Linked DNA regions of Schizosaccharomyces pombe. The gene in region 1 interacts genetically with each later gene. Each region holds a gene or a part of one and is shown on either strand. Other genes may lie near its edges. The genes, in order: cnp3 and cnp20.

Region 1 (11,817 bases):
AGGAAGTAAATTTATTAGATTACGGCGGAACCGACAGGGATTGTGGGAACAAATTCGGACAAGGTCAACCATGATATTAGTTGAATGAGCAATCAAAGACTCAACTAGCGGACCATAGGCTGATGAGATAGAGTTTTTTTCGATTACTGTACGGGTGTTAGGATTATAAAAATTTGAAGGAAGCCCAGAAAACTCACGAATACATTCTAACATATACGAAGTAGGTTGATCCCTTAGATTAACTGCATTGTTAGCAGTGATAAGTGCTTGAAGGGAGGAACGGACGTAAGGCTCTGGAGTACGATTCAATCTCGTAAAATCTAAACAAAACTGATATACTGCCAAGGAAGAAGCGAGAGTGTGGCTATTCAAAATCAAAAGCATATCATCAGCAAAATACAAAATTCGTTGATAAGAATGCTCAATGCCAGTAGGAGGAATATTCCTCACAGGAGCTGTAGCAACTAATTGGGCTTGGACGCGAAAATCCCAATATTGCTTTAATATGCTCTCCTTGATAGATGAATCAACTACCGAAACCGTGTTCTGAATCTCGGGTACCAAATTTTTGATCAGATGGAGAGCATCGATGGTGGTCTTAATATCACTCCTTTCATACACTCGTAAAATACCAATTCGAAGTTGTATTCTATTGAGAATTCCCTCGATAATTTGTCGTAACTCGGCAGAAAATTTTATAACCTCGGAAGCCAAATATTCGATGCTAGATTGCAAAAGATAATTGAGTTTTTCTATGGGGTAATTTTGAAGAAAGGACATGTGATATGAAAACGAACTAATGTCTTCCTCGTCATATAAATTTCCCATCAGAAATTCTCGATGAACAATATCGCAACATTTAATAACAGCCAAAACAAAAGGGAAAAGAACGATGTCAGTTGTATTCCTTCCGCTACCACTGGAGAAGCCACTGTCACCCACTTGTGAAATAGGCGACTTGCAAATGGAGAACACATGGGCACTACAGAGTAAGCTCTCTGATAAGGGGGATCCATAATGCCACTCTTTTTCCGCAGAGACAATTAAATCCATTAACGCTAATATTTCCAAGTAAGAGAGATCACGTGAAAAATCTACACGAAGTGGCTGATAATCAATCCCACTATCCATTTTCGGTTCCATAATTTCAAAGGCACTGATTGAATCCAATAATGTAAATTTTGGATCACATACTAGCTGTTCCTCTTTCAGAGATTTCGTGGCTTCAAAGTAAGACTTTGTACAGTCGACATATCCAGCGTTATCAACATAACCTTCGTTCCCTTTGGCCGGTTCCACATTTCCAATCTTCACATTTCCTTGCATAGAATTAAGCAATGATAGGGACTCTTTAACAGACATAAAATCGACAAAACACCCCTATATTGACCAATTTTCTATTGAACGTCTAGTTTATGGGTTAATGAAAAGTGTTACTCTGTAAGTCACAACAAAAATTCCACGCATAAAAATGCTTGTTCAATAACATTTTCGAGAGTAAATAAGATGGTAATTTTTTCAATAATAATAAAAACAATGATAAATCCAATTTGAAATTATTTTACTTGTATCTGCAAAGGTAAAAAACTATCTCGATGGTAACCCATCTCACCTAGCAGTAGAATATCTAAAAACTTTTTATAAAATAAAGAGAAGGAAAACAAAATAAATACTTTAAACAATTATGCTTTTTTGAACATGAGAATTTTGTAACTTTGAAATTGCACCAGTTCGTGGAACGTGCAGTCGCAAAGTGTACTGCATAAATAGATACATGCATGGAAGAATCGTGATTTCAGTCAAACACTGCATTCATAATCTTTCTCTTTAAATTTTCGAGTTCTAAATTTTTTTCTTTTAGGGCCGCATTCAGTTTGGCAATTTCTAATTTTAATGAGGAAACAGTGTCTAAAGGCTCCATTGAATTTGAATGAGATATAGGGACATCGGGAATCATCTGAGCTTCTGCTAATGAGTGCATACTCGGCGCTTTTTCCAAATTGAATGCATGACATATAGTAGCTGTTAATGGTCCTTGATGAACGGTCCAAATTAAGCGATCGGTACTGGCTTCAAGGATTTCGGAATGAGAAGAGACCAGGGCTAAAAGAGTACTTGAGATGAACTTAAAATTGGGAGTTTTGGGGATCGGCGAAGTTTCGGAGGGAGGAAGATATTGGGATATCGTTTCAGTATAGTGTGATAAAAGTTGAGAAACCGTTTCCATGGGCAGACGAGCAACATGTGAAAATGCAGAGCGAAGCATTGTATTTTGAGCATGCATCAACTTTTCAAATCTTTCATACCAAGAGATACTTAGCGTTAATGACACAGATGGTTCAGATCTCAGCCGTTTAATTTTGTTACGAGCTCCTGGCGGACGCCCGCGTTTACGAGGGACTCCTGCTTCATTTTCAACATTTTCCGTTTCTACTTGATTGGTTTGTCGAGACCAAGAATCATTCAACCCGTCACTTTCTTTGGGTGAAGAAACGTCTCGTAAATCATCAGGCCATTGATGCCAGTCAGGATCAATGGAATCAGCAACGCCAACTGCTTCAGCAGTTTGAAAAGCGTGATCATGGTTATGTGAATTGTTGGCTGCGGAAGGTAACTGATGGTCTTCGTCAGGTGGTTCAAACATATTTGGAGGATGTGGGAGAGAATGGTTTTGAGGAGTTGTCTGATGTGCTTGTTGAGAACCTCGTTCAGACATGTGATGGGACGCTCTCATTAAAAGGGATTGAGGGGTAGGGCATTCTTGGGAATCTGCATGAGGGTTTGTGACAAAGCTACCAAGATTGTGAGTGTTGTCGTCTAAACTAGCACTAGCTGAATGAATCCAGTTAGAAGGGGAGGTTGACGTGCGCATTGTGGAGATGGAGGAAGAGTTAACATCTGGATGAGACATTAAGCCTGCACGTAAAGATTTAATAACCAAATCATCAGTTACATTTACATTGCATCGAACTTGAGGTTGGGTTTCAGGAATTTCGAGATAATAAGGATTTGGTTTATTCAGGAGATAATCGAAAAAAGCATCAACATGTGTTTGACTCATCCACCGTTTTAAACGAACAACATACTGTTGTATTTTTTGAGTAGATTGTTCATCTTTTCGTTCCACACCAAGAAAACCCACCAGCTTGGACCAAGAGTTAATTATTTTTTGGTGGTATTGCCGGACAAGGAGAAATAAGACCCAAATCTCAAATTTTTGACCCTCTGATTTAGGAATCATATTGAATGCATTTGCTAATTGCCTCGTGTCAGCACCTGCATACCAGGGATTGCAGCAAAGACAGAATTGGCAGAACTTTTCAGTAATATTATCCGCGCTAACATCATGTCTAGATGGCAACAAGGAATAAAAGTTCATCCTTGATTAATTGCTTTAAAAAACAATAAAAAATGTAAAAAGACAGATAGATAAACGTTGGATTATTAAGTAAACACGACAGAAAGACACAAGCAATGTCGAATAAAGAGATTAACAGTATATAAATATCAGAAAAGATCCAGGGATTTTAATAGAATGTATCAGTTCTTGGAACAGGAAGGAGTTGCTGTCTATAAATTAAACTCCAATCTGTAAATGAACCGATGTTTTTTTTTCCGTACACTAAAAAAAGGGAATGGAGGTAAATAAAGCAAAAAAAACGAAATAAGAGAATGAATGTAACCAAAAAAAAGAAAATATAAGTACAGATGTTAAATTTTGTTTGTTTCTTCTCTAGAAATTAGAGAAGTATTGACATGAAGTAGCTCGTCTACACTATACGAAAAGATGCACAGATTATGAAAACAATTGATCCCCTCCTATGATGAAAAAAGGATGCGGAAGGTATTACAGAAGTTTTTCTTCTTTAAGAAAGAAAATAAGAATGGTGTCCCTAAGCTATATGGCACGTATAGCAAGGGTGTCGAGAAATTTTCGGAAAAAATTGTAAACCCTCCAACAATCGGTTGTATTCACAATTGAAATTAAGAATTGGAAGAGTTTCTCTCACGAAAACCTATTACCTTGGCGTTTAGCTTTTCGAGAAAAAGAAAATTGCACGGTCATACAATTTCGCGATTTTTCAAAAGAAGGATGGCAAAGAAAGATATTTCCAAAGAGGCGAAACCTCTTAAATCTAATTTACAAACGATAAATAAAAAGCGCGAAAAACTTGCACACGAGCAAAAGTCCAATTTATATATTGGAATGGAAGATAGAGTAGAAAATGGGAAACGCGAATAAAGTACTCTTTTTCCTTCATATATTGTGATACCTTGGGCCATCCGACTCAGATAACAAGATGATACCTTTAACCCGTTGTTACCGTAGCACTCGCTGAATCAAGGTACTTAACGACTGTCGGTAAACGGAGTCGTGCGCCGTTTACCGATGAGGGATACGTAATCGCACATTAGGACACCTTCAATCTCCCTATATCTTTTGGATAGATCGAGAAATTGCTAGAGGAAAGATGGAACGGGATTGCATTAAAAAATAGAGGCAATAAATTAAAAATGTTTCAATCAAGAGTTCAAAGATTATTACAGATTTACTACTCATTTCTGTAAAGCAATGGTTATTGCGCTGTCTCGACTGCTGTTATTTACCTGACACACTAGGGGCACACACTAGGGGCACACATTGGCGGCAACCCGAATGGAATACAAAAAATGCAAATTTTGATTTCAATCGACCAATGCTATAAATGAAAAAGACAAATAAAATCGAATCATATAAAAAAACAGAATAAATAATGAGACAGACAGTGGAAATGATCCAGCGGCATCGAGAATTTAAAAAATCGGCTCTTCTCTAATAGTATCTTTTTGCATTTGCAACGGAGCGCATATTACAAATCTAAGGTTGAATACTAATTATTACGAATAATAAGCTATAAAACTATTTTTTTTGGAAATAAACAGCTATTTAGATTAGAGTACATGAGTACTACTGTTAGTAAACAAAACGACATTCACTCTCTATATTTATGGCAAATTTTTAACAGCTAATTTTAACAATTTCTTGAGTTGCCACTCAAAGTATAAAGAGATATGCCTTCTTCGATTTACTTGTTGAAACTACCAATTTAAATAATAGCTGCTAACGGCTTCTAGTGATATTCCTTAAACGGCAATCGCCATTTTAAGGAAGAAAGGCCAATTGGTCGCACTAATAAGGACCTGATTTGAAGCCGCTGTAAAATAGGGTTTTCCCTTTTTTGCTGAGTTCGCGTGAAGGTTGTAGGCGAAATAAAGTGACAATATACATTCAAAATACAGACTTCATTATGGGAACTTTCATTTTCTTTATAGTGGTAGCAGGATAACCTAGCCTTTGTGTATAAGGTGATATCCTTTTACAGAGGTTAGCTATGGATTCTTGTAATACAGCCAAAAGTACGTACATAAATTTTGAGTAAAAAATTCGGGTATGGTTGAAGGAGGCGTAAACGGAAGCATTTTCTTGGCGTTAATTGAACATGTTTCGCACTTTAGTCTTCTTACTATGTCATGAAAAGAGCTATTTTAATTATTGTACGGGGTGGCTTGCTAAATATTGATCTGCTAGATATAAAATTAATAAATAAATAATAAAATAATAAAAAATTTTGTAAAAAGAGAAGCGAAAAACCAAACCGACTTAACTTTTTGTAAATAAATATATTTAATTTTATTTACTTTTGAATTTTTTTTTCAGCCCTATTCAAGATCAATTGACCCCTTTTTTGGCAAAATTTCACCATTGCTGAGATTTCGGCATCAGAAAATTTTCACATACTATGGTGAAAAAAAGAAAACAGTCAAGGCGTAGCATCGCAAATTTGGATTCATACAAGAAAAAAAATCTCGTCAGCAATACGCTTAATAACACCGACTGTAATAAATAATGGTGGTTTAGCACTAATATAATCGTAAGTTAATAAACAATCATCAATTGGATGGCCAAGCCAGAAGAAATCCCAAAAATAAAAAAATTATAAAAAATGATAAATCTATTTTTAATCTCTTAAATTGTTATTGCGGTAGGCCGTTTTTTTGAATGTCAATTGCTCAATCCGTCTTTTCCACTATTTGGGTTCATCCCTTGGTAGCGGCTACTTAATATGCTTCTAGGTAGGGTTCATTTCTTCTCTGGAATTCCCTTTCTGACCTTCATTCTAAGGAGGCATGTTTGTTTCTGTTTACCGTAATCTACGCTGTCAGCACTAGTAAGTTTCATTTCCAACGCAATTTCGTATTTGTTTGCCTAACATTATATAACTATAAAATGCATTCAGAAAAACAGAAAAGCGCTTAGGCAATTAAGTTTATATGTATTGGTTAGTTATACTGGAAGCAAAAATGAATACACCTTGCCTTTTCGCATGGGTCTGATTGATAGGCTTATTCCATGACACATAATGTACATCCTGTACTACACGTAAACAAGAAAGACAACACTTACGTCCCCATATATTGTTTTGTTTGGCTATTTAGGCTATATTTTTACTTAATGTTTATTTAATAGAATAATGACGATGAATGAAACGTCTGCTATTCCGGCAAGACAACGAGAGAATCAGTTTTTTGAAATTGGTGTCGTAGGCAGGTACGTTCGCGAATTGGGTTCCATATATCGTAATAATTATTCTTTTTTTAATAAATTTACTAAAAAATATTTTTATCTAGAAAAACAGGATTCACAGTTCCCAGAGACGTTAAAAAAGGCGATGATGGATTCGAGGATATGGATGCTTATTTTCTTTCCGACGGTTCCATCCATTTGGACGAAGATAATGGAGACATTGAGCAGGATATGCCGCCAGTAACAAGACTTCAACCTACGTCTCCAATGGCAGTCAATGCTGCTTCTGATGAAGCTTCTCATGCCTCATCTTCTGACTCTAGTGATAAAAACCCGGATATTCCTTCTTCACCATTGTTGATGAATTCGAGAGCTCTTCGGGCTAGCCGTGGTTCGTCTGGTCCTTTAATTGGTAAGGTTCTATCTACGCATCACAGATTTTTATTTTACAACTCCTCAAATACTCTACTGTTACTTTCCGTTTCATTTCATTGATAAAATTACTAATTATACATACAGTACCTATAGATCACTCAGCTTTTCAAGCGGAAGATGAAGGAACCGCTGATAAGACGAAAGTCGATGGCAACAAATTATCAATTCAGCCAAGAAAAGCAAATCGAATTGTCGATTTTTCTAGGATAAAAGCATCTCCAGATAGAAAAAAATTCGAACCTCGAAGAAGTACCGAACTTCCTTCCAAAATACCATCCTCTACGCCCAAGGATGATAACGTTCAAGAATCGCCTGCATTCCCCGATGAAAATATTACTGCTTTACAAAAAAATGTAGCGAATTTTACTAGTATCAAGGATAGTGGTGGTCGCGATAATCTTTATATACAAACCATTTCAAAACCCCGTAGAAGTTATGTTCAAAATAATAAGTCAGAACAGACGATTAAGCCTTCTAAACAGAATAAGCAAAAAGAGGAAAAGAAAACAATATCCCAGGGCAACAAACCAAATTCTAGAGATGAAGATTCCGAACTTTCTATCGATGTCCCGCTTTCTATGCTTAATCGAAGCCTAGCAAACAATTCTCAAAAGAATAAGAAAAGAACACCTAATAAACCTTTACAAGAATCAAGCATAAATTCTGTTAAAGAAGGGGAGTCAAATCCAGTAGTCAAGAGAAAACGTGGTCGACCTCGTAAGAACAAATTAGAAATCGGCAATTCTGTTCAAACTAGTGAGGCTACACAAGTTAAAGGCGCAAAGAAACCTGCAATTAGAAACGCGAAGAAGATGTCCAACGAGAAGGATGACTCATTGAATTCACAATCAGATTCAGCTTCTGGAGAATTTATTAAAACAATTGCTCGAAATAATTTACAGGAAATTAAACAGGTCGAACGTGAAGATACACTAGTTGGTGTCCGAAGGTCGAAACGTACACGAATAGCACCACTAGCATTTTGGAAGAATGAGCGTGTTGTATATGAATTACATAGAGATGAAAATCGAATTCCAGCACTACCGGAAGTAAAGCAGATAATCCGAGTTGACGATCCATCACCTTCAATTCGTCAAGGTCGCAAGAAAAGGCATGCAAAGCGCTCAGGAGTTGAAATAAAAAGTAACTTGGAAGCAAAATCGAATGATGTTGAAGAATATGATGCTTTTTACAAAGACGAAATAAACTGTGAAGTTCTATCTTGGAATGAACAAAACCCAAAAGCCTCTGAAGAACGAGTAGTCGGCTATTCATTGCCTTCTGTAAATCTCCAGCAAATCTCTAATCAACAACTAAAATTTGCCAGCTTGTTCAAGGAGGAGCCATCTTTTGCTGCTGGCGTCGTTGAAATGCCAGCAGGAGCAGAAAAACCAGTGAAGCCTTCGAAACACAACATAATGTCTTTTTGTATACTACAGGGAAAGATCGAGGTCACAGTAAATGCAACCACTTTTCGAATGAAAAAAGATGGAGTATTTATTGTTCCAAGGGGTAAGTTTAAATATACACATTTCTAAAAATTCAAACAGGAATTATACACCGAGAATGTGTTTTGACTAACATTGCTTTAGGGAATTATTACAGCATAAAAAATATCGGCAAAGAAGCTGTTCGACTTTATTATACCCATGCGACCGACACCTTGGAAAATAAAAGAAGGGGAATAGGGGATTTTCCAAACGAACGATGACAATACTAATAGTGTGTTATGGATTTCGATGTACAAAAGTCATTTAGTCGTTATGTAATTTAATTATCTGTTATCAATTTAATCATATTAATAAAGTCATTTTTTCTAAACTTATTTTTGCATCATTTCCTTAAATTTAAGCGTTTTACTGTAATCGTCAATTAATTCAGTTAGCCTACCAATATTCATTTTTGTCGGATCAACAGTCAACTTTTTTCCATCCTCTAAATAATAATTATTAGCAAAAGTCAAATCTAACGGTCGCAGTTAAACCATCTAGCTACTTAAAAGCCTTACTGTATACAACTTCAACAGATGGTTTTGAATTGGTATCCTTTGATGCAAGACTGGTAATGAGATTAAGTCCATAAAGAGAGTTGCTGGTTTCTTTACTGGCAACTGCTAGCAAAAGTTTCGCAGATTGACTAGCTTTGGAAAACGGGTTCACATTCAAAATTGACAATTTATTAATGTACCCAAATATCATGATTAAAAATTTTAACTGGAGAGTAAAGTCGTCAAGGAATGTAATTAAAAGAGATCTTTATGTGTAGATATTTTAAATACATTAAATGGTGGTAAGTTTTGTAAACGAAATGACATTTGGTAAGCTAGGTGACCGTTACCCTGATAGTCTCACTTCCTACAACAACTAAGTCAACTTGGAGATACAAACGAAACTAGTATGTCTCTATAATACAATTTGTCATTCCAATTTTATATAGAACCTCGGTTTCCGCTTGTGAAATATTTTTTCATGAACAATTGCAATTTTGATTTTATCCAACATGACTACCGATGTGAAGGCTAAAAACCCTGCGTCGATTTTCAGCCATGAAACCCTCCTTCACGTTCTTAATGATTTGTCTGCACATGACTTAGCTGCTTTAGAACGTGTATCTCGTAGTTGGAATTCAATTGTGCGCCGTTCATCGGTATGTTCTTCTTGACTTTTTAGTGATATAGTCGAATTTTCATGTTTTGAGAGACTGATTTCCATGTACTAACGACCTTCATACAGGTATGGCATAATTTATATCTCTCAGAATTTGGGACTAAGCATTTACGACGACATGGTCGCATTGAAAAAAAACGAAGGAATTGGAAAGGATTGTTTCGAAGGCAATCTAACTGGAAGGACGGACGTTGTAAAAAAGTAGAGTCTATGCTCCCTCAATTGCTTAATTCTGAAAAAAGCGTTGGAGAAGATCGTTTGGGGCTAACGCTTACACACCAAAATAATATTTATTTTTGTAATGACGTTCAAATATCAAAATGGAGCTCAGTTGGTAACAGTTTGAAATGCCAGGCTATTTCTTCTTTTAGAGATGAAACTGTCAAATCTGGTCCGGCTGTAATGTGTCTGGATAACGCCAGCCTTTATATTGGTTTAAAGGATGGTAACCTGCTACATGTAACGGTGCATGAGACAGGTTTCGGAAATATTGAAAACCTTGCAACATTCTCTACCAAATTTGTGGCATTATCATCGCATAAAAATTACATTTGTGGATTGACAAACGACAACAATTTATATATACTTCAGCATTCTCATCAAGCTGGAACCAAATTGAAAGTACTTGGTAAATATCATGTTTCAAGTATTGAAAAACAGGTTGCTATTCACTTTCAGCAATCAAAAGAAGGATATGAAGTTGTTCATGTAGTTTTTAATGATTATGTTCTATCTGGTGGATGGACCGTTAGTTTGCAAGAATTTGTTTTCAACGAATATTGCGTCAAAAGTAGTAGGCTTGCATTGCATGACAACAAAGACATTGAGTACTCTCAGCAACCTGCTTCTGCTATTTTTATGTATGGGTCCTATATTTTGACATCTCATCCGGACAATTCTTTAATTTTGCAGAGGCTTTATTCAACTAACAACGAATTACGGATAAAATTTTTAGGTCGTCTCTTAGGACACGTTTGTGGTGTTCAGATATCTAAACTATTTTCTTGTGGAAGAATTGTTTCTGTATCCAAAAACTGTGCCGATATTTGTGTTTGGGATCTTCATGATACAAATTATCAATCAATCGTATCTCCGCTAATGCTAACTTGCACAAACATCCACAATAAGCCCGTATCTGATTACGAAAAAGAATGTAAGGTTCAAGATATAGGACTGTATGAAGATACTATTTTGATAACCCTTTCCGACGGCAGAATATTAAAGTTTCTCTTTAATATTTAGAGAAAGGTTTCACTTTATCGTACATGATTGAATTCTAAATGATGAGTTTAACCATAGTTTTATAATTTTATTTATATTATTATTATTACTTAGATTGGATTATTAAGTGCCTTTTCAAGGTTAATGAGCCTCAATATACTGTATTACGAGTATCTGCTATACCTTTCAGTTTGCATCCTCTAAAATAATGAAACACAATGTGCATATTCGGTAACTGATTCAACGAATGTAAGGGATAATTTTAATAATCATATTTACTTCAGTCAAAGCATTTGGTAATGTTAATAAATTTTCTAAATACTTTTTTTATTCTTTATTCGTTGTCATTGTTCCTCATAGCAGAGTACTGAATTATCACCCAACCCTACCCTAAACGTGACTGCCCCAAAAACAAAAGAATTGACCACGCCTGTTTAAGAAAGATTGTCCGTCCACCAAAAACAGCAAGAAAAATGGCCAATCTTAGAACGCAGAAGCGACTTGCTGCATCCGTCCTTAAATGCGGCAAACGCAAAGTTTGGATGGATCCTAATGAAATCAGCGAAATCAGCAATGCCAACAGCCGTCAAAACGTCCGTAAGTTGATTAAGGACGGTTTGGTTATTCGCAAGCCTAACTTGATGCATTCTCGCTTCCGCATTCGTAAGACCCATGCCGCCAAGCGTCTTGGTCGTCACACCGGTTACGGTAAGCGTAAGGGTACTGCCGAAGCTCGTATGCCCTCTGCTGTTGTTTGGATGCGCCGTCAACGTGTTTTGCGTCGTCTTCTTCGCAAGTATCGTGAGTCTGGCAAGATTGATAAGCATCTTTATCACACTCTTTATTTGGAAGCTAAGGGTAACACCTTTAAACACAAGCGTGCTTTAATTGAGCATATTCAACGTGCCAAGGCTGAGGCCAACCGTACTA
Region 2 (11,012 bases), 3.8 Mb from region 1:
CGAATTTTTTTCTATACCCTATCTCTTAAACGATAGGTATGTTTCTCATCTCTGTAGCCCTTAACAGATATCGTTCAATTGTCCTACATAGATTAAACCAGTTAAACTTGATTTCCAACCATTATACGTTAACACTTTTTTATAAAATTTGTCAAGTCAAATCACAACTGACACCTTCATGTGGAAAAATACCAAAATGATCTCAGCAATAAAAGGATTAAGAAAAACGAGTGTTAAGCTTTATCGGCTACTTAATGATGCCCAGCATGTTCTTCTTCATCAGTAGAGCTATTGTCATCATCCTTTATTTCGGCTGCTTGAAGATTTGCGAATTGATTATCAAATTCATCATCGACGTTAAAAGCATCATTAGCCAGAGATCCTGAGACAACTTGTTGTACCGGTAACTCGTCGTCGTCGTTATCCGATTCGTTCGCTGTATCAAAATCAAAGGGTTGACTAACTTCGTTAGAATTGACAGTAACCTCAGTATTACTATTTGCTTCAAAAGCACCTGATGTAGTATCAAAGTACTGATTCTCAGTACTTGAGGGTATAGTCTCCGAATTAGGATGCTGTACATGAGTAGTCGTAGACATTTCTAATTGATGATTAGGATCAGGAAGCTCCGTAACTGCAGAGGTGTAATTCGTGACTGATCCAATTGAAATTTGAGGAGAAAGATTAGACATTGGGGGCTCCTCATCACTAGAACTTTCATCATCATCAATCTCATTAAACTGAATTGGTGGAAACTCATCTTGAATATGAGGTGTCGCTTGTTGTACAACTCCATCTTGCGCAGACCTATCGCGTCGAGAAGGAGGAACAGGAGGTTTCACAGGAGCAGGTGTACTAATTGTTTCAGTAGCAAACGGTGCACTAATAGGTTCAGTGGCTTGTTGTTTATTAGCAATTTCAAATGGTGTAGGTGCACTAGTGTTTTCAATAGGTTCCGCACTTGTATTCTCGACTGGCTCAGCTGTGTTTCTGGCAGATCCTGTTAACTTTGACAAGTCAGATAATACCGGGGATCCACGTTGTGAAGCAGAGGTTGATACATCCACAACACTGCTATCCTGATGTTGTGGCTCCTCCATATTTGACAACTGCACAGGTTCAGAGTCCAAGCTAGGATTAACACTTGAGTTATTAACGCTAAGAGATGTAGTCTTTGAAATGCTTCTAGGAAACACAGCCGAAGCAAATTCACTTTCCCAGAAATTTGAAACCGGTGAACTAGCTCCTGAGATTTTCAAGTTATGGAATGGATTTCGGGAAACAGTGGAAGCATGTGCTGATGAATTATTAGAGTTCAGGGATGGAGAACGGAGAGTATTATGCATTGCATCAAAAGAATTATGTTGAGTGGGCACCGAGGAAGTAGTATCAGGAAGGGTTGGCTTATCAGTGGTAATTCCATTGCTGGTAAAAGATGGGAAACGAGGTGTCGAATCCACTTCGGGTTTCGGAGCTTCTTCAGTCAGGTTAACGGATTTCAATCCATCTTCTAATTTGCTGAGTTCTTGCTTTTCAGCTTCCAATTGTTTAGAGTGTTCGTGATATTCTTCGGTTGCGGTAGCTAGTTGCGTTTTAGAGTTATTAATTTTGTACTCTAGGTCAAGTTTTCTTTGCGAAACAGCCTTACTCTCTTCGTCCAAACTAACCAGACGTTGAGTCATTTCATCCAATTGTAAATGCAACTGGGCGAGCGTCTGCTCTTTATCAGCAACCTCGGACTTAAGTTGTTGAATTGAAGCATTAGATGACTCTACCATATTCTTGGCCGCTTCAGATTCTGCAACGACTTGCTCTAAAACTTCACCCTTTTGTTTATTCTGTTTTTGCAATGCATTAAGCGTGGCTTCCAAAATTGAGTACTCCCGATTAACTTGCTCAGTTTGAGCTTTATTAGTTTCAATGTCCAAACTGATCTGCTTGGCTTTTGCTAGTTCCTCATCATAGGCCTTTCGTATTTCACTGACCTTGGCTTTGACATCGCTTAAGTTTGCGGCAACATCGCGAGATGACTTTTGTAAATCATCATTAGATTTCTTTACTTGGGATAATTGCGATTCTAACTTGGGTACCTCTGCAGCTAATTTTAGTTGTTCGGCAGACGCAACCTGAGGAATAGGGGCAGCAAGTTGTGAGGGAACAGAAGTTCGAACTGCTGAAGGTTTGTCCATGGTGTTTTTGGCAATCGTCTGCCCAAAACTGGATTGAGGAAAGAATGTTGATGTAGGGGAATTAGGTTTAGCAGCTGGAGAAGTGGGAAACCCTGGAGTATGGTTAAGTTGGAGAGGTGAAACAACAGGGAACGGTGCACTTTTAGTTACTGGGGGGGCTGAATGCTTTGTAGCATTCGAAGATGTATGTTGAGGAGCAAGGGTAGGAGAGAAAGGAGTAGCATCCAAGCTTAGTAAATCCTCAGTTCCTGAAGTTACTCGGGATGGGCCCGTAGGATTAGGAGCCAACGTAGGGTTGGGATTAGGAGACGAAATATTAGCAGGAACAACGGAAGGGATAGAAGTTGGCACGCTTTTGCTCTTTTGCATTAATGGAGCAACCGAAGAGAGCATAGAAGAAGGGAGCACTTTGGGTAGCTCTTTTCCGGATAATTTGAGCTTAATTAAATAAAGAGATATACAAAACTCACCAATGTTTAATTTACCGTTACTATTAGTGTCACTAAGGTCCCAAATTTGTGCTAAGACATCTTCAGGAAGTTTAGAAGCAAGGAAAAACGAATATGCCTCGCTACCAGAAACGTATCCTTTGTGCGCTTTATCAACGTTGGAAAACAACTGACAGAAGCTAGTCAAGTCTTGAGATGGAATGGCCCATGGATCTGAAACAGGGATGTTTGGAGCTTGCACAGGTGGACTTCGGCTGAGGCCGGGATACTGAGAGGGTGCAGAAACTGATGAGGTTGAAGCTGCGGAAGCGATAAATGATGGTGAAATAGAAACAGGAGGAGACTTTAAGGAACCGTTTAATAAAAGGTTGATTATATGCATACCGGTATTAAACTCGCGAATATCCAGAGCCCCGCGTTTATGAGTATCAACTAAATTCCAGACTCGCGCAAGAATTTCAGTACTAAGAGGTGCACGACCAAAGATTGAGCTAGCTCTGTCACCATCCATCAGACCGTCAGTTGGGCAGACTGTAGTAAACATTTGTTGATACCGTGTCATTTCATCTGAAGAAATAGGAGGTAAGAAAGAACCATCAGATCCATCACCAGAAGAAACGTTATTTGGTCGATTCAGCTGAACAAACTTTGAAGAATCAACGCCAGAGATATGGATATCGGCAAAATATGGAATTTTCCCCGATTTTTTGTAATCAAAAGGTAGCTTTTCTTGTGCGAGAGCCACCAACCTCATGGCAATTACAAAGCCAGAAAATGTAAGAAATCCTCGATTCTCAGCATCTGCGATTTGCCAAATTTGACCAAGGACTTGAGGAGCTAAGCCCGATTTTTCCAAAAACGGTACAGCTTCTTCTCCGGTGATAACGCCAATGTCTTGTTTATCTGCAATTTTAAACAGTTGGTCAAAAGCGGTTTGCTCTTCCGCAGACAAATTCAAAGACATCTCTACTATGCTCAATTTACGTTGTGGTTCAAGTATACTAAATCACTTGTTGAGCAAACTCAGAAATCACCTCCAAAAAAGAGAATTCGATTTACAATACGATCAAAATGTCAAAAAAGACACACTTGTTTGAATCAGGTGTAATTGAGAGGCTGCGATTATATGAGAGCATCCAAGGTAACCGAGATAAAGCAATCGACCCTGCTACCTTAAGCAGGAGTAGTAATTAAGGTAGTTAGCTATATGATACTCTATCACTAAACGCTTTTGCGTGGAAAACAGAGCGTTTAAATATGCTCATAATGATTTGCAATATCGCATTAGCTTTATATAACGATGGTTAACGGCATTGCGTTAATTGATCTATTCATTTCCGACAATTTTTTTGAACTAGTTTCGTGTAAGTAGGTCGTACATAAACGATATCTGAAATGTCTGTTCCTTTTGAAATAATTTACTGTTTTTATGTTTTGATTTTCACAACAGAATGATGCGTATGACAAAACAACACCTGGTTGCATAGTCAAGTTGAAGTGTAAATAAAGCTCAACTTTTTTAGAACTTATTCGGTATTATCAATTTTCGTTTCTTTTATTCGCTCTATAGTGTATTGCTTCGTCTTAAGATTGAACCTTTCCAATTACCGAGTTCATCACCTCTACATTTATTGTAAAAAAGTAATTGTACTGCAATCTCTGACAAGCCATCATGACATACTGACCTTTCAATTACATCCAAAATTCCCTTTAGCTTGTCTTTGTTTGCTTCTTAATGGATGATTTGATCTACAAAAGAAAACGAATCATTATTGGTAAATTAAATAAACATCAGCAGCATTCACGGAGCAATTAAGATACACACTGCCAACGTCAATTACAATAGATTAATGTCAATTGCCTTTCTTTAGAGTCTTTTTTTGTTTGCCAGTTATGAACAGTAGCTCACGGATTAGAAAGTTCAAAAATCAATTATTACGCTTTCTCTTGATGTATCTTAATTCTTCTGAGAGATTGCTTTTAGTCCAGTAAAGACATTTACATCACTGTAGTAAAACAAGTCAAATCACTTAAAAAACTAGTATCTGTCCTCTTCTTCGATATTTTTACCTGGTCGACGGCTGCTTAGTGCTAGACCGTGTTAAAACCGATTGTCTCATTTTCGATTAAACATAGTCTGGTATTATAGATCAGTTGATTAAAACATTTGTTAGCTTTCAAAGTAGATCGTTGAATTGAAGGATTTTACTCAACACCAAAAATCATACACCAAATTTTTTTATCCTCCTTTAGACAATGCTATTACCACAAAAGAACGGGATGAATGGGATCATTTGCTTCTAGACACTAAATTTAAGTAGCCGATAAAAGACGGCTTAACATCCGAGCTTTCGGATGTTCATTTTCACACGATGATTTTGGGTTATCTATTTATACCCAATTTGTATATCTGACATGTGCTTGTTTATCGGTTGGAAATATCTGTCTTTACAGATAATGTGTAGATCATGGTTACTATATATGACTTAGGAGGCTGGTCAATTTAATAGAACCTAGGAAGGAATAATAAAACATGCACTTTGCCAAACTTGGAGCAATTGGTCTTCTTGGAAGTATCATTTGTGCTTATGCCGCTAGTGCTGCTTCAAAGGTCATAATCGACAATGATGGGCTGACGGATTTACAAGTTTTATTTGCTTTACAAGCGAAACAACAAATCCTTGGTGTAACAGCAATTTACGGAGATTACACCTTGGATGATAGTCTTTTTTTGGCTTCGGATGTTTTGTCTACTGGTAATTTGACATATTGCATACCATCTTTCGCAGGTGCTGCCCAGCCATTGTTGCGCACTAATAATACTTTTCAAATTTGGCAGGAGCTGTACGGTAGTTACGTTTGGCAAGGATATTGGCAGCCTGAATATGAAACTGCAAATACAAACAATGAATCTTATATATACAATACTCAAATCTCGGCAGCTCAATTCATTATCGACATGGTTAAAGCGAACCCCAATGAGATTACCATTGTAGCGGCAGGGCCGATGACCAACTTGGCAATTGCTCTTTCAATTTGGCCTGATTTGGCTAAAAACACCAAGTCTTTGGTTATCATGGGCGGCTATGTTGATAGTCAAATCGCACAAGTTACTGGGGGTGACTTTTTGAATGATATGTATAGTGACTTTAATTTATTCATGGAACCTGAAGCTGCTCAAACTGCCATCACCGCAGATTGGCCAGAGCTTATTATAGCCGGAAACATTACCAGTCAAGTGTACCCATCGCAAAGCCTCTACAATGGTATCATTGCGCGCGCAGGTGGAATGGCAAATATTGAAAGCGATTCTGGTCTAAGTTATGCAAAGCAATTTGTGGGCAATGGAACATTGCCTAGTGGATCATTTCCTTTCTGGGATGAAGTTGCTTCTGCAATTGCTGCATGGCCGGAAATCGTAAACAGCTCTTACGATGCTTATGTTTCAGTAGATACTGCTTATGATAGTCCATTTTATGGCAGCTTACGAATGGTGCCAGCCGATTTGGTACCCAAAAAGGGTGTTCGCACAGCAAAAGCTAGCATGATAACTGGAATTAACGTTGCAATGTTTTATCAAAAGATTTATGATTCTTTGACAGCTGAATATTCATCTTATTGTATGAATGGAACAATAATAACTCCTTCCAATATCACCATCAGCAACACAACAAATACAACAAACACCACGGGCTTCTATTAAACTTTAATTATCAATTAATAATGAAAGATCGTGGTTAAATACCAGAGGTTATATCTATTTATATTTATTCCTTTAAACCTCAGACCGATAATCGCTCGTTTGTAATTGGTATATTTTTTAAATTGAACAATACACAAAAGAATTTCGATAATTCATTTTAGCGTGAAACCAAAATACTAGTTTACGTATTCTGTCATTTAATAGATGAATGTTCGTACATCGATATTTAATAAGATTTATTAAAAATTAAATAGTTTAATAATGCAAACTATTATTTTACAAACGTAGATCCTTGTTCATTCATTACATATGAATGGTTTTATCCGCTCTCGAAAAGTAGAATCCAATTAGAAATATAAAATGAAGAGAATAAATCCTTTGAAAAGGACGGGCTAATTTTCAAATGCCTCAAATTATTGAGCGACTAATCGTTCTAAAAAAAGTTATGCTTGCCAGTATAAACTTTTGATATTCATTTTTTTATTTTTTATTTTTTTTGGTGATTAAAGTCATAAAAAAAGAGAAATGGACATGATCAGTCACCTTTTTTAAAAAAACAAAAATACGACCCCCTCAACTTTTAAGGCTAAATTTTACATATGAATGCAGTCTACATCCCAAAAAAAATAATAGCTAAACTTTTAACATTGTACTTTTGGGATAATTTTCAACCATTGACAAAATCAATATACAATTCTATATAACATGTTGAAGGAAATAAATTTAGCTTAAAATTATAATTATTATGCTTTTTTTATGAGGTATAGGGCGCAATTATGAAAGAAATACGGGCGCTTAAATACGAATTTTAAAGAAAAATGTTAACAATAAATAAATACAATTTGACTTTTCTATAGTACGGAATTCAAGAAAAAAAAAATGTCTGTTACATTATTTACTGACTATGCTCTTTCGATTTTTGTTTTAAATTAGATTTTACTTGCCGGCGTCTTGCATAAAAAGGGAAACATAAAAATCCCAGATATGCAAAACTGAGAAAGTATAGAGCGAATTACACAAAGAAAAGCTGTAATAGTTATAACTATAACTTTCATAATAAGTATGTAATGACACACTTCATTTTTTATAAGTGTCTGACGTCGAATACTTTCCTAATCAAAAAATAGGAGAAAAACTAATATAGGTAAATACCAACATGAAACAAGTCATTTAAGAAATATTCATTAGAAACATTTGAAGATTAACTTCAGAGACACTGTCGGCATCCACATAGTCATCTAGAAGTCTGGAGTTGACAAGAGGTTTGCCTTTGTACATCAAACGGATAGAGGAAGGTTGCGTAGATAACTGAGATGCTAAAACTTCTTTAAGCTCCAAAATTGTAGACTGTACATTTATTTCAGTAGATGCTTGTTGAATGGGAGGTCGGACAGTTTTCGCAACAACATGAACTAGATTTTTAGTTAAAAGTAGTTATTTAAGCAGAATTTACCTTTCTTTTCCTCGAACAAAGCTAAATTTCCTTGAAACTCGACCAGTGGAGCAGGAATAGTGATCTATAAAACTATTAGTTTCAATAGCATATTTGTGAAACAAGAATCATTATTACGCACCGAAATAGCAGTTTCATCTATTTTTTCAATTGGAATACTATCAGGGTGATTCCTAGGGGTCTTTGAAAGCTCTTCTAGAAACGATTTAACAATTTGTACCTCGCTCATGGTGATGGTGGAATGTCAAGTTTACTCAAGCTAATTATCAAGTGTCCTAAAACCACTAAAGAGAAAATCTCGAAACAAATATCATACAAAATGCCATTAGTTCCAACTTTGACAAACAACACATCAAATCTGACGTTCAGTTTTTGATAATTATGTTACAATGCTGCTAACCGACAAATTTAAGAGTCCAAATCCTTGATGTAATAGCGCTCAAGTTCAACATAAAGTATTCTATAACTTCGTCTATTTCATGCCTTAAGCTTTACAACCTCGCGAACGTAGTTTACTCAGAATTGTCAAAAAGAATAATAATTATGATTTTAAAAATTTACTGTTAAATAAATTATTAAAGTCATAAGAAATCTTTGCATTGTTAATAAAGTTGCTGTTGCAAATACTATCCATACAAGTTTCTGAAAGTTAAGAGTTTAGTAGTTTTTAAATATTGTTTCCCTAAATGTTTTGCTTATCATTATAGCAAACAATAAAGCTAAATAGTTTAATTGTTCATTTCATGCTTTCATCTTATTTCATAGGCACATAAAGTATCTTTGCGTTTTACTTCGATTTTTTAAAAGAGGTTGTATTCCTTCATGTTTTTAGATAAGATTGCTATGGAGCAGTTTTAGAAAAGATGCGTATATAAAGACAGACAGATTAGAACTTAAGCAAGTAAAGTGTGAAGTAGTTGTATACTAATTAGAAAGATGATATAACCAACCTTACTAGAGCCATAATCTTTAATCAGCCCTGAAATCGTCTTGTTCGAATCATTTGTTTTTTAAAAGGATTGATTATTATTGTTTATTTCTCCTTAATATTTATCAAAAACTCCAAATCGCTGTATAGGTAGCATGGTATACATATATTCACTCAACCTACATTTCTAATCAATCACGCTTACAATGGCTTCTCACAATTATGAGACGCCACTCAAGAGCTCTTCCTTTCAACATTTAGTTGGTACACTTTCTCAGCGACGGCATTTTACCCCCTCTAGAAGCAGGTATACTCCACGTTCTGCTCAACGGACTGTTACTCCTCATAAACGGAGAGCTCTTGCACGCAGGAATAGTCTAGCAAGGAGAAGGAGCAATGTGTTTTCCGCAACAACTCCTAGAGACATTCTCAGAATGCTCAGTCGTGCGCTGGCAAAAAATCCAGTACCATCACCAGCTGAATCAGAATCCTCCGAGCGACGACATACTCCACAAACTAATAGTCAAAAGTCTCAAAAGACACCAAGATTGTCTTCGAATAAGCGTCGGACTTTAAAAAATGATGCTAAACAAAGGAATTCCCAATCTCCAGGTACCGACACTAGCGATGCAAATCTGACGATACAATCCATCGAAGCTCCAAGGCGTGCTCCACAGCGCCTTAGCGACTTTTTTACACCAGATGGAAGGCGTGTCAGTAATATTCGTGATTCTCTAATCTCAGAAAAACGATTAGAAAATAATATTGACCAAGTTCAAGAAAGCGCGTTAAGTACCGCTTCTAGTAATCGACTCATAGATTTAAAAAATGACGAAGTTCCTATTTTTCGCATTCCTTTAAGTGATTATGAAACAGATGACATGGATGACGGTACACCTCTCCAACGCCATGTTGCGACCCTGAACCAATATCAAAGTCCCATTTTTAATTTAGGCCCGGACATTTTAGAAGATGAACCATCTTACTCTTCAAGAGCTTCCAGATCCCGTCAATCATCTCTCTCTTCTCGATTATCTGAGTTACCTTCTAAACGCGCCAGCCTTGAGATTTTAAGGCGCGAAAATACTTTCCCAGCCGATCCAATTCAGGAATTTGGTGAAAAAGCATACAATGAAAGAGAATTGATGGAAGAAATCTCAAATTTTGAACCCTTACTAGATGATAACTTGCTTGAAAATGCCAACGAAGCTGTCAATTCCCCAGTAGTAGACGCACCAATGGATGCTGATTCTGCTTTAGAAATACCCAATGATGAAGATAATGGGGAAATTCTAAATAAACTAAAAGATTCTCCGTTTAAAAAACCTAAAAGAAGATATTCCAAATCTTCAACACTTGTGCTACCGGAAACAAATATTAGGAAGTTGGCTAATTCCTATTCACAGAAAAAAATTGCTGGATCAGTGATTGAAGAACTAACTACAGCTTCTGAACTCTTTTTCAAACAGATCGCGAATGACCTTTCGGCTTTTGCAGACCATGCTCATCGGAAAACAATTGACACGCAGGACGTGGTTTTACTTATGAAAAGACAAAGGAAAATAAGTGAGAAAAAATCCCTATCCTCTCTAATGCAGCAATATTTATCGCGTGAAATTGCACCTCCGGCAATTAAGAGAACCTAATGCGTACTTCTCCTTTACATTCATCCCTGTATATTAGAATTTTTTTCATCGTTTTACCTCTTTGGATGTTAAGATTTTTTATTAATAGTTAATTTAATGATTATTTATATTTATTGCTATTTTTATATTATTAATTAATTGTAAGGCACGTCTAGAAAATTTGTTTTCTTAGGAAATAGAATTATTTTCAAAATTTGCAACCTATGCAAGAACGCTTGATTCGATACACTTACAAGTTTGTTTAACAGCTTTTGATTATTTGTAATTTAGCCAACATTTATTTTCGTCCATTAGTTAAAATTACATGATCAAGTAAATAAATTTCATTATCTGCTAACTGCAAGAAACATTTATTTTTATAATTTTTTTTAGTATTTGAAAGATGAGTTTGCAGGGAACATCCGTAGTAGTGCTAATTACTCTCAGGTGTGTTATGTTGAATCTCTCATAAGCCATCAACGACTTTCATTCACGAGTGTCCTAAAGGTTTTTATATACCCGGGATTTTGTCGAAATAAAGCATTTATGAAATCCAACCTATCATTAAAACGGCAAGATGAAAAACGTGCCGACAAAGAGCCCAATTTGTACACATTGCAAGGTGTAATTCAATATTTACAGTACGAGGCTTTCAAGAATGAAAG

What was found.
Region 2: mutations in cnp3 (region 1) and cnp20 are lethal when combined (synthetic lethality), as found in Schizosaccharomyces pombe (one study listed by BioGRID).

Annotation. Positions count from the first base shown.
Region 1 is NC_003423.3:4,123,264-4,135,080, reverse strand, and holds cnp3 (centromere protein), read left to right. Parts: upstream 1-6,414; 5' UTR 6,415-6,512; coding exon 6,513-6,589; exon of another isoform or gene 6,590-6,669; coding exon 6,670-6,977; intron 6,978-7,084; coding exon 7,085-8,512; intron 8,513-8,592; coding exon 8,593-8,711; 3' UTR 8,712-8,763; downstream 8,764-11,817. Other genes in the region: naa35 (NatC N-acetyltransferase complex subunit Mak10), read right to left, coding at 1-1,362; ARS-binding protein Abp2, read right to left, coding at 1,796-3,379; mrpl44 (mitochondrial 54S ribosomal protein mL53), read right to left, coding at 8,823-8,935, 9,009-9,198; F-box protein Pof12, read left to right, coding at 9,500-9,646, 9,733-10,908; rpl1901 (60S ribosomal protein L19), read left to right, coding at 11,361-11,817.
Region 2 is NC_003423.3:270,736-281,747, forward strand, and holds cnp20 (centromere receptor protein cnp20), read left to right. Parts: upstream 1-8,747; 5' UTR 8,748-8,928; coding exon 8,929-10,368; 3' UTR 10,369-10,512; downstream 10,513-11,012. Other genes in the region: ede1 (EPS15 repeat-containing family actin cortical patch component protein), read right to left, coding at 252-3,602; SPOM_SPBC800.11 (inosine-uridine-preferring nucleoside hydrolase), read left to right, coding at 5,172-6,341; SPOM_SPBC800.12C (ubiquitin family protein), read right to left, coding at 7,512-7,753, 7,795-7,858, 7,916-8,023; csc3 (WD repeat-containing protein), read left to right, coding at 10,894-11,012.